Linked DNA regions of Xenopus tropicalis. The protein of the gene in region 1 purifies or fractionates together with the protein of each later gene. This does not show direct contact. Links are inferred from orthologs where the notes say so. Each region holds a gene or a part of one and is shown in the gene's direction. Other genes may lie near its edges. The genes, in order: cops7b, cul5 and cul4b.

The links.
Region 2: the proteins of cops7b (region 1) and cul5 purify together in Homo sapiens (affinity purification with mass spectrometry; 3 studies listed by BioGRID and IntAct, with this or other methods). This does not show direct contact. The link is inferred for Xenopus tropicalis from reciprocal best matches to the Homo sapiens genes COPS7B and CUL5.
Region 3: the proteins of cops7b (region 1) and cul4b purify together in Homo sapiens (affinity purification with mass spectrometry; 6 studies listed by BioGRID and IntAct, counting the BioPlex papers as one, with this or other methods). This does not show direct contact. The link is inferred for Xenopus tropicalis from reciprocal best matches to the Homo sapiens genes COPS7B and CUL4B.

What each region holds. Positions count from the first base shown.
Region 1 is NC_030681.2:101,198,380-101,202,031, forward strand, and holds part of cops7b (COP9 signalosome complex subunit 7b), read left to right. Parts: intron 1-2,737; coding exon 2,738-2,940; intron 2,941-3,652. UniProt on the Homo sapiens protein: Component of the COP9 signalosome complex (CSN), a complex involved in various cellular and developmental processes.
Region 2 is NC_030678.2:159,969,452-159,973,683, reverse strand, and holds the start of cul5 (cullin-5), read left to right. Parts: upstream 1-1,369; 5' UTR 1,370-1,393; coding exon 1,394-1,417; intron 1,418-4,232. UniProt on the Homo sapiens protein: Core component of multiple cullin-5-RING E3 ubiquitin-protein ligase complexes (ECS complexes, also named CRL5 complexes), which mediate the ubiquitination and subsequent proteasomal degradation of target proteins.
Region 3 is NC_030684.2:46,091,659-46,095,991, reverse strand, and holds the start of cul4b (cullin-4B), read left to right. Parts: upstream 1-1,516; 5' UTR 1,517-1,708; coding exon 1,709-2,120; intron 2,121-4,333.

The sequences.
Region 1 (3,652 bases):
TGCCATTAAGATTTCACTGTCACCCCTGTCCTACATAAATGAATGATGCCATATTGTTTTTCTGTACTGGCAATAGTGAAACATTCACTTTACAGCCACTAAGGGTGATGTTGTATTTGTGTTAAACTTGAAAATTTCAGGACACCTTTTCAATCAGGCACTGCAGTTATAGCAGACAAGATAATCCAGTACAGAATATGCTCACTGTAGCATAGTTGGGACACCTAGGCTGCATACAGAGTGTTTCATTGCTACTACAGCAAACCCCATCTTCCATTCAGTGTGTTTTAGTTGTAGTAGCTGATAGGAGCCAATTATCAGGTAGCTTTTACTAGTGTACTTTTGGACTTGGACATTTGATTGTTTGAGTTTCTAGACCTGCAGCAAACATGCCTGTTATTACATTACTCTTTTTGTTTCCCTGATTGTATGCCCTTGAGAACAATTCATGAATTGGTCTGATCATTTGGCCCTTAAGCTCTTGAGCTTCACAGGCTACATGTACCTTCCAACAAAATTTAATGTCCACAGCTTTTAAAGGTACTCTTTAGATTTCTCAGTGTGACAACATAACTTAATATAATTTGAGGAACATGTGGTATAATTACATAGAAAATTGCGGACAGTTTTTTTTTATAGAGTCTTGGGCCTATGTGCTTATGAGAGGGATACCAGTTCTTTCATTTGATAGAGAAGAAAAAAATAAAGAATACTCATAAAAAAACAGCTGTAAACTTAAAATAGCTTAACAAACTGTTCATGTAAAAAGATCACCAGTTTCTTAACACCAAGCTGCTGGAGCTTTGTCAATCTCTTACAAAATGAAGTGCAATGGAAAAAGAAATTTATGAAACTTTAAATTTTGACTGGAGAGGACGTGACATTACATGATGTTTATATGGACACTGCTATTTTCCTTTGTTCTGTTAGCAAGGATTCAGCTTATGGCATTTATAACTTTTTCCATTTTTTTTCTGTCAGCTAAGTTCTTTTCCACTTTATGACTTTCACCAAACTAGTAAATCTGGTCCAGTAACTAAGCTGGGGAGGTAAGGGAGAGAGTGCAGGGAAGCACAGAGCTCTCTAGAGAGAACTAATTAGCTCTGTTTTTAAGTAGGGATTGTGCAGCAGGCTCCCGTGGTGGTCATGGTGCTATGTTGCTTGCCCTAGAGGCGTACAATATTCTAAGCATTTCTAAATGTGCCGTGTTTGCGTGTTCCAGCTCCGTGATGCTGATTGTCCAATTTAAGTTATAGAAGAAGATTTAAAGAACTTGCTTGTTTGAACTGTTGCTTTTTTTTTGCATATGCTTATACCATGTAAATAAAATTACAAATCACCAGTTGACATGTTTAAAGGGTTTATATCTATAATAAAATGTCAGTAATACAAGGAAATGAAAATGCAGAAAAGAATTTACCACATTATGACATATTACAAAAAGCAGCACAGAAAGAAGAACTCTGCTTTCTTTTGTATGATAAAGCTTTCTAAATATGCAATTATTTTTACTCAATTTAATGTAAAATTGCATGGGTATGTTCATTAATATTCTTAATGTTTCACTTAGTCTGCACTTCTTTATTTTTGCTAAATTATTTATTATGCAAATAAAGCATGATGTTTTCTATTTAAAGAGATAGTGGGAAATTTTTTTGGAATTAAAAGATTTTACTATGCAGTGCAATGGCACCATTAAGTTTTTCTGTAAATTAAGACTGACTAATTGTGTGTGTGTGTGTGTGTATATATATATATATATATATATATATATATATATGTATTATATATATATATATATATATATATATATATATTATATATATATATATATATATATATATATATATATATATATATTTATATTTTATATATATATATATATATATATACATACAAAAACAAAAGAGGAGCACACCCTATAAATAAAGCAAATGCCCTTGGTGCTGGTCAAACAATTTTGGTAGACAGACAGAGTACCGCACACAAAGGGACTTTATATAGAAAACAAAAATATTTATTGAAAAAAATCCGACGTTTCGAGCACCAAACTGTGCTCTTCCTCAGGGACAAACCAAAAGAAAAAATACATACACACCCCTTAAATACCCTACTGTGCAAAATGGCGCCAAAAAGTGCAGGTCATCACCATAGTAACCAATGTAAACAGATAAATACACAAAGTAAAAATCACAAATACAATACATGAACATAATTGCATATACAGCTGGTTACTAAAGGAAATCACAGACAAAAAGGAAATGAAACAAAAAGAATATGTGTAGCCGATGTGCAGAGTGAGAGTATCAATGTAGATAAGATACAATGTTATAGATCAGTGAAATGGGAGAGTCCCCACCAGAAGCAAGTGCACGTTGCCATTTAGAGCTGACCGAGAAGTAAAACAATAAATAGCTTACTGGGAAGCTTCCCCACCGCTTACATTGGTTACTATGGTGATGACCTGCACTTTTTGGCGCCATTTTGCACAGTAGGGTATTTAAGGGGTGTGTATGTATTTTTTCTTTTGGTTTGTCCCTGAGGAAGAGCACAGTTTGGTGCTCGAAACGTCGGATTTTTTTCAATAAATATTTTTGTTTTCTATATAAAGTCCCTTTGTGTGCGGTACTCTGTCTGTATATATATATATATATATATATATATATATATATAAATGTATTATATGACCTGAGTCTTTGGCAGTGGTAGCTTCAAAAATGTATTCTTTATGTCTCAGTGCATTCCTTACTCAGTTCTCTTGAAAGATCTGGAAATGAGGAACCTCAGGGAGCTGGAGGATCTTATCATAGAAGCTATTTATACAGACATTATTCAGGGCAAACTGGATCAGCGCAACCATGTGCTAGAGGTTGATTTCTGCATCGGACGGGACATTCCCAAAAAGGACATCAGTAGCATTGTCAAAACACTTCAAGAGTGGTAAGCACTTGTTCCTGATTTTATATAAGCGTGTAATAGAATACCTCTTTTTCCCTTTATTCAAGGTGGTGTTTTCAACAAGAGGGTGAAATTATCAGCCTAAACCTGTCCGTCCTGTGGATACCACAAATTTCGGTCCTGCCTGCACACCACTAGTTCACAATAGTTTTTTTTGTATATATGTATGTATAATCTTTATTTATAAAGCGCTACTTATGTATGCAGCGCTGTACAGTAGAACACATTAATACAAAGAGGGTTTTTTTTAAGATAATAGATAAATACAAAGTATAACAATAAATTCAAATAAATACAAGACACAGTTGCAATAAGTCAGACACAAGAGGATGGAGGTCCAAATATATTAAATTTTTTTGGGTGTCAAATGATCAGGTCAGCCTGATTTGGCCCACTACCTGAGTAGCCAATTGATATATTTATATAATCATTTTTTCATGTGGAGGTGCATTTCATTTAATGCTCTATTCATTGCTGCTTAAAGTGGATTTCATTTATAAAATTAGTTATTAGTGTGATAGACTAGGGTTTATTAATACAAAGAGGGTTTTTTTTCATGTGGAGGTGCATTTCATTTAATGCTCTATTCATTGCTGCTTGAAGTGGATTTCATTTATAAAATTAGTTATTAGTGTGATAGACTAGGGTTTATCAGTTTTTATTTTCATCTTCCCATGCTCATGTTGATCTTGTT
Region 2 (4,232 bases), on another chromosome or scaffold:
ACAAGTAACATGTAAGAGCCCAGTGCTGCCCATACAAGTAACATGTAAGAGCCCAGTGGTGCCCATACAAGTAACATGTAAGAGCCCAGTGCTGCCCATACAAGTAACATTTAAGAGCCCAGTGCTGCCCATACAAGTAACATGTAAGAGCCCAGTGCTGCCCATACAAGTAACATGTAAGAGCCCAGTGGTGCCCATACAAGTAACATGTAAGAGCCCAGTGCTGCCCATACACCTCAGCCTGGCAGTATAGTTACACAAGTAACATGTAAGAGCCCAGTGCTGCCCATACACCTCAGCCTGGCAGTATAGTTACACAAGTAACATGTAAGAGCCCAGTGCTGCCCATACACCTCAGCCTGGCAGTATAGTTACACAAGTAACATGTAAGAGCCCAGTGGTGCCCATACACCTCAGCCTGGCAGTATAGTTACACAAGTAACATGTAAGAGCCCAGTGCTGCCCATACAAGTAACATGTAAGAGCCCAGTGGTGCCCATACACCTCAGCCTGGCAGTATAGTTACACAAGTAACATGTAAGAGCCCAGTGGTGCCCATACAAGTAACATGTAAGAGCCCAGTGGTGCCCATACAAGTAACATGTAAGAGCCCAGTGGTGCCCATACAAGTAACATGTAAGAGCCCAGTGCTGCCCATACAAGTAACATGTAAGAGCCCAGTGCTGCCCATACAAGTAACATGTAAGAGCCCAGTGGTGCCCATACAAGTAACATGTAAGAGCCCAGTGCTGCCCATACACCTCAGCCTGGCAGTACAGTTACACAAGTAACATGTAAGAGCCCAGTGGTGCCCATACACCTCAGCCTGGCAGTATAGTTACACAAGTAACATGTAAGAGCCCAGTGCTGCCCATACACCTCAGCCTGGCAGTATAGTTACACAAGTAACATGTAAGAGCCCAGTGCTGCCCATACAAGTAACATGTAAGAGCCCAGTGCTGCCCATACAAGTAACATGTAAGAGCCCAGTGGTGCCCATACACCTCAGCCTGGCAGTATAGTTACACAAGTAACATGTAAGAGCCCAGTGCTGCCCATACACCTCAGCCTGGCAGTATAGTTACACAAGTAACATGTAAGAGCCCAGTGCTGCCCATACAAGTAACATGTAAGAGCCCAGTGCTGCCCATACAAGTAACATGTAAGAGCCCAGTGCTGCCCATACAAGTAACATGTAAGAGCCCAGTGCTGCCCATACAAGTAACATGTAAGAGCCCAGTGCTGCCCATACACCTCAGCCTGGCAGTATAGTTACACAAGTAACATGTAAGAGCCCAGTGGTGCCCCACGTGACCCGGCGGCGGCGGAGCCGCTAATCTCGCGTTGGGCCTGAGATCTCGCGGGATCCGGCGGGAAGACAAGTTGAGGGAACATGGCGACGTCTAATTTGTTAAAGGTAAGAGGAGCCACCTCTCTGTACTGTCCGCTGCTCGTATGCCGTGGGAGGTCGGGACACACAGCCCAGCCCCACCCCGGTTCCGGCAGCCTTGGTTAGTAAGCCGGTCAGTGCGTGTCAGCCCCCCTGGCCGCTGCATTTGCCCATTACCGATCTTCCCATCCCCCGCATATCTGCACACCGGTAGCTGTGTGGGGATAGAAAGCTGCACACCCAATGGGTTATTGGGGGAGCGCAAAGCTGCCGCTTTCCTGCTGTGGCTGCTGCTTCCTACAGGGGGCGTTGCGTTGAGTATGTGAGCTTTGAGTTCCAGTCTAATGCAGTTATATAGGGGGGAGAGGGGGGTTTTCTTAGGTAGAGAGAAGTTTAAGGAGTTCAGGTAATTGATTTCAGAGATCACTGTGGGTGTGAGTTGTAGTTCACCAACAGCTAAATGTGGATATCTCTGATCTAAAATAGCTACCACTTGATTGACAGCTAAACACACCCCCAGGGGCCCCAGAGGTGGAGGGGCCCAAGCCTAATGTCTTCTGTTTTATGCCAACCTGGCCCCTGTGCAAATCCTGCGCTACCTCCTCTAAACTGGAGAGAGTTGGGTACAGGTAATAAGCAGGACTACTGGCCTCTGGGTGTTTCCTAACTGACAACACCAGCACTTGGATCAGAACGCACCAGCACTTGGATCAGAACGCACCAGCACTTGGATCAGAACGCACCAGCACTTGGATCAGAACGCACCAGCACTTGGATCAGAACGCACCAGCACTTGGATCAGAACGCACCAGCACTTGGATCAGAACGCAACCAGCACTTGGATCAGAACGCACCAGCACTTGGATCAGAACGCACCAGCACTTGGATCAGAACGCACCAGCACTTGGATCAGAACGCACCAGCACTTGGATCAGAACGCACCAGCACTTGGATCAGAACGCACCAGCACTTGGATCAGAACGCACCAGCACTTGGATCAGAACGCACCAGCACTTGGATCAGAACGCACCAGCACTTGGATCAGAACGCACCAGCACTTGGATCAGAACGCACCAGCACTTGGATCAGAACGCACCAGCACTTGGATCAGAACGCACCAGCACTTGGATCAGAACGCACCAGCACTTGGATCAGAACGCACCAGCACTTGGATCAGAACACACCAGCACTTGGATCAGGACCCCAAGCCAACCTGGATCTGAACAGCAGCCACCAACATCCCACTGACAGAATAATGCTGTTTGGGTGCTGGAAGCTGAACTTCAGCATCGTCTGGAGAGTGGGCTTGCCCTTTAATACTAGCCACGTATGGAATCCACATCCTGGTTTATTAGCAATTAATTTAGATGCTATATGATTTATGTGAAGCCATGCAGCATGCATCTAAAGCAGGAGTAGGGAACCTATGGCTCGAGCGCCAGATGCGGCTCTTTTGATGGATGCATCTGGCTCAGTGCCAAATCTTTAATAAAAAAAATAATGGGGGGCGTGGCCTGCACTCGGCGGATAGAAGGCGTGTTCTAAGCCATGTCCGGCATCCTTGGGACCCACCCTACCTTGCCCCGCAGCATCCGTGGCCAAACATATTGCATGGCTCTCACGGAATTACATTTTAAAATATGTGGTGTTTATGGCTCTCTCAGCCAAAAAGGTTCCCAACCCCTGGTCTAAAGTAATTGCTAAATAGCCATGCAGGATGTGGATTCAATTAGTGATACAGGAATTTATTATTATTATTAACATTTATTTATAAAGCGCCAACATATCCCGCAGCGCTGTACAATAAGTGGGTTACATACATTGGACATACAGAGTAACATATAAAGCATTCAATAACCGATACAAAAGGTGAAGAGAGCCCTGCCCAAAAGAGCTTACAATCTACAAGGAGAAAGGGTTGAAACACAAGGAATCAGTTCTTTGCAAACAATTTGCGGGGAAAATTCTCAAAATGCATTAAAGTCAACGGGCGGTTTTCCACAGATACAGCGCAACCTTTTTTTGTTTGTTTTATTGGTCTTTGGAGTCCGAGGTGGCTGTTTTTTTCATGGTGAAACCTGGCAAAAAGATTTTGCTCATCACTAGATTCAATATGAGCCCAGTACAGGTATGGGACCTGTTATTCAGAATGCTTGGGACCCGGGGTTTTCCAGATAAGGCATCTTTCCCTTAAGTCTGCTAAAAATCGATTAAATAAACCCAATAGGACTGGACCAATAAATTCTACCTGCTGATTGGTTGCTCCTGGGCAAACTTAGTGCATTACATAATCCCTAATAAGCCTAAAGGTTAGCCAAGCGAGCGGCTCTTCTCCCGATATCCCCCACCTACAGGTGGGCGAAATCGGGAGAATCCAGGCTAATTCGATCGTTTGGCCTTGGGGCCCTGATCCGACTAGATTTTATAACCTGCCCGATCGAGATCTGGCCGATTTCAGGCCAGATATCGGTCGGGCAGGCCCGTCGGTAGTGCCCATACACAGGCCGGGCCTAAATGGATGAGCTAATTTGTTCCACTATATTCTGCCCGTTGTATCAATTATTATTCATATCTGCATTTTGGCATAGTCACATTCCATTTCTCCTGCTGAATAGGGAGTACAAGGGAATGATGTGTGTCATTCCCTCCACACTGTGCGATAACAAGATGCTTTACTGGAAAACACGCGGCAAGTAACTTTCTAAAAGGACGGTTGCGACGACTAATCAAAGCATTGGGCAAATACTTTTAAGGCAAAATTATAAATAGCGTGCAAAGACAAAGTAAAAAAAAAAGGTCTAATTTCTGGTGTCCGTATGGCTTTAAGATGGCTTTACATGTA
Region 3 (4,333 bases), on another chromosome or scaffold:
TATAAAGCAATCAATAACGGATACAAGAGGTGAAGAGGGCCCTGCCCAAAAGAGCTTACAATCTACAATGAGCATTAAAGTATACACAAGGCTCTTTAAGTTACCTGAAGGGGCTTTTTGCCGCCTCCAGTAACTTGCCAGGCAATACAGCCTAATGTGAGTTTCTCAACTCGCCTCATGGCAGCAACGCCCGTGAGTTCTACAAACACCTAGCTTCAACATTATTTGGGTATATATAGTTTATATTTGTAAGTGTATAGATTGGTCTATATAGGTATGTGTATTTTTGTGCACTGGGGTTTTTAGAGATGTTGAACTTGATAGGCTTTGGGCTTTTGTCAACCCAAATTAGTTATTTAGTTATATGTAACATCTCTATTAAGCTTTACCAGATGATTCATAAGTGCTTTATGCAGTGACCAGTGCTTGCATATCTGTTAAAAAAAAAAAACAATTGAATAGGGTCAAGTGCTGAAACTAAGTATGAGCATACACCTTTTGGTGTGCTTAACATGTGTTGTTTTTGCTGGTGTTATAACTTGTATGCAGGCTCACAAGCACATAGAGAACCCAGAATAGCTGCTTTATAAAAAAAAAACACATTCAGCCATTGCTTTCAGTCAGAATCTGGTATACAGCTGCGTAATCCAATGGGAAGCCTTACTCTCCCAGAGATTATTATATCACCCAAATTGACCACTTTGTATGATATAAGTTTATTTTAATCTGGCACTTAAATGAATAGTGGGGTTAATATATGTACTTTTCATCCCTGCTATACACGCCATTATACATTGCTTTCAGACACAAACTTCATGTTTGACGCTTACTGAGTAGTAGTACTGAGTAGTTACTGAGGAGCTTCCACAAGGAACTCATTTTAAGCGGGAAGCGTCACACGCAACTACTGGCGCTCTCCTTTATGTAACTATTCTAAGCCTCTCCGGCCCCCACGCTGCTGAACAGGCGGTACCATGTGGAGGCATCAGGGGGAAATGTCACCCAAACCAAGCTGATTATTGGTCCTTATTCCCTTTAGGCGTCACTACAGAGGCGGGAATATTCAACCCTCGACTCCTCCCCCTCGAGTAGTTTCCAGCCTCAGCCCCTTCCTTCCCCTTGTCGGGACTCCTCGCCGGCACCAACCTAAGGCGGAAGCTCGGCGAGGAGAAAGGGGACGGATGAGGCCCGCACGGTCGGGCATTATGAAAGACCTCATCGCTAGTCCTTCCGGTCAGTCAAAACAAGGTACGAAGGTTGCCATGACATCACAGTAGAATAAAAAGGGGAGGGGAGAGAGGGAACACAGCCAGCCTTTCGCGCTATAGTTAATGCAGTAAGCGCTACCCCTTTGGTTTTGATAGTTTGGCAGCAGCTGGCGTCAAAGGCTCCCTGACTGTCCCGGCTGGGAAGGGGTGTGGGCTCACGGCAGCCTCCTGGGGAACTCTTCCCAACATGCACTGCGAGAGGAAGTGAGGCCATCTTTGGTTCCCTGCTCTTGTGACAATAAACAAGAAAAAGAGTGGGGATATCCGGAGAGCGGGGCCGGGGCCTTCACCGAGCAGAACTAAAGCAGAGTGCCTGCCGAGGGGGCCACTGGGAAGCGCTAACCAAAGGGCCACGTTAGCTGTTTGTTGCGGTCCCCACACGATCCAGCGGTCACACACAGTCTGGGCTGCCTTGAATCTTTTCTATTTGTGGTGTTTTCATGTTTCCCACAGGCTTATCAACCCCCAACCCCCCGGCGCAGGAGGTAAGGACTGAGGGAAACAGCACCTCCAAAAAGAGAAGGTTGAATATCAGCAGCAGCGATAAGGACGATTTGGACCCCCTGTCGCCCCCCAGAAACTCCTCTTCCTCCTCTAACCACATCCAAAAGAAGCTGCGTTTTGAAGACACTTTGGACTTTCTAGGACTCGATGTGAAGATGGCCGAGGAGTCTCCTTCTTCTTCCTGCTCATCCTCCTCTACTCCCCAGGCAGTGAGGAGTAAAAACCTGCTCATCTCCCCAGTGGGCGTTGGGCATCATGCCAATGGCCTCACAAAAGCCTCACCCGTGTCCAGTTTTGCCAACAGCAAGCCTGGCTCAGCCAAGAAGTTAGTCATCAAGAACTTTAAAGGTAAAGAGGGATGGCACCATTCAATCAGCTCTTTGATAGGTCACTTCAGGGAGTGTAATACTTTGACCAGAATGTGCTTAAGGACCAGGTGATTACAAGGGTGCTCTGGTCAAAATAAAATCTCCTTTAATTTGGAATTCAGAAACTAGCATGCTGTCTTGTGTCACCCAGTAGTTTGGGGCAAACGTTTGCCTGTTTGGTTTTTTCATGATGGTAAAATTACAGTTTCCTTTTGGCGTTATTTTATTATGGTTGAATCTATCTGGAATGGCAGTTTTGACTTCTAAGGGCTTGTGTATTGATGCACTCCTAACCAGCATAAAGCCAAAGTGTTTTAAGCTGGTAATGCTTGATTCTTTCTATAGGGATCCGCAATATTTTGGAGCACTTAGGGGATTTGATGCTTGTTACAAGCATTCCTGTTTGACCCAACCAGATCTGTGTGTCAATACTAAGAGCGCTACAGTTAAGGGATATCTTCAATGCAAAGGCAATCTTTTCTATTAAAAAAAAAATCTTTGTCACAACCGATCTAAGCTGCAGTGTCAATATTCCTGTGGGACTCATTGGCCAAAGCCATTTTTTTTTTTTTTTTTAGTATCTCATGGGACCAGTGCCAAAACACTGAAAATCTTTCTTCAATGTCCACTTCCAGAATAATTTGAAAGTGAACACTGTTTATTTTAGGCATTTGTCTACACACAACACACAAATCATGCTGGTGTTAGTGAAGCAACATTCAGGACTAAACTACACGGGAGCTTTTGTAGGATGGTTTCAGATCAACAGAAAGCATCCTTGCCCTTAGGGCTCTGGCACACGGGGAGATTAGTCGCCCGCGACTAATCTCCCTGAAATGCCATCCCACCTGTGTCTCGGGCATACGGGGTGGCGCGATTTCAATGAAATCGCGCAGGTTTCCTCTCGAGGCAACTTGCGCAATTTCACTGAAATCACGCCGCCAGCGATTTACATTTTCGCAGGTGGGATGGCAATCTGGGGAGATTAGTCGACCGCGAACAGGGAGTTTTGTTGTGGGCGACTAATTTCCCCATGTGCCAGAGCCCTTAGACAATCTGCTAAATAACTGTTAAGGTGATAACTGCAACACTTTACACAGATTTGTGAGGCTATTCACCATTTACTAACATGGCTAATCAGAATCAGGTCAGGCTGGTTCATTTTGGGCCCACACAGAAGTGTGTTTGTTGACATTTGCAAACAGATTGTTTAGTGGTATCAATGTGGCTTCTGGCCCTGATCTCTTTAGGGCTCTGGCACATGGGGAGATTAGTTGCCCGCGACAAATCTCCCTGTTCGCGGGCGACTAATTTCCCCGAAATGCCATCCCACCGGCGAAAATGTAAATCGGGATGGCGCGATTTCAGTGAAATCACGGATGTTTCCTCAAGGCAATTTCCGCGATTTCACTGAAATTGCCCTGCCGCATATGCCATCCCACTGGCGATTTACATTTTCGGGGAGATTAGTCGCCCGCGAACAGGGAGATTTGTCGCGGGCGACTAATCTCCCCGTGTGCCAGAGGCCTTAGTGCAAAGTGGGGGAATTTAATAATTTCTAAGAAATTTCTATCAGTTATTGGTGCATGAGCATTATGCAAACTGCAATGCATGTGCACCAGTTGCTAAGTGGGGGGGGGGTAAACTAGGCTGGTGCCTAGGATGGCACATGACCAATATACAGCCCTGGGTATGCCCATAATAAATTTATATATAAAGGTTTAGCTGATGCAGCTAAAATAAGGTAGAAACTCAGGAAATTGTGCTGTTAGTTTGCCTTTAAAAAGTAGTAATTGTATGTAAAAAAAAAAAATTACTCTGTTTTGGCAAAAGACCTTACCAGCCTCTTCATTTTTTTGTACAACTGGTATTAAGTGCTTGTGATTTTTTCTGATATACTAATAGTACAACTAATCCTATATCAAACAGACACAATGCACACCTAAATTGTAGTACTGTTTCATATACAGGCTTGAAGTAGAAATGAAGGAATTCTCGGCAAAAGAACTTGTCTGCTCATACAGTATAAAGGAGCATTGCCACATTTATTGGTAAACGGTGATACAAAGAGCAACAATACACTGTTTACTGTTTACAAAGGAGTATTATGTATGTCTATGTATTTGCAGTGGCAAACCTCTGCAGCACCAAGGGATACTTGCGTTTTTTTTTCTGGCTTTTTATAGAGTGGTT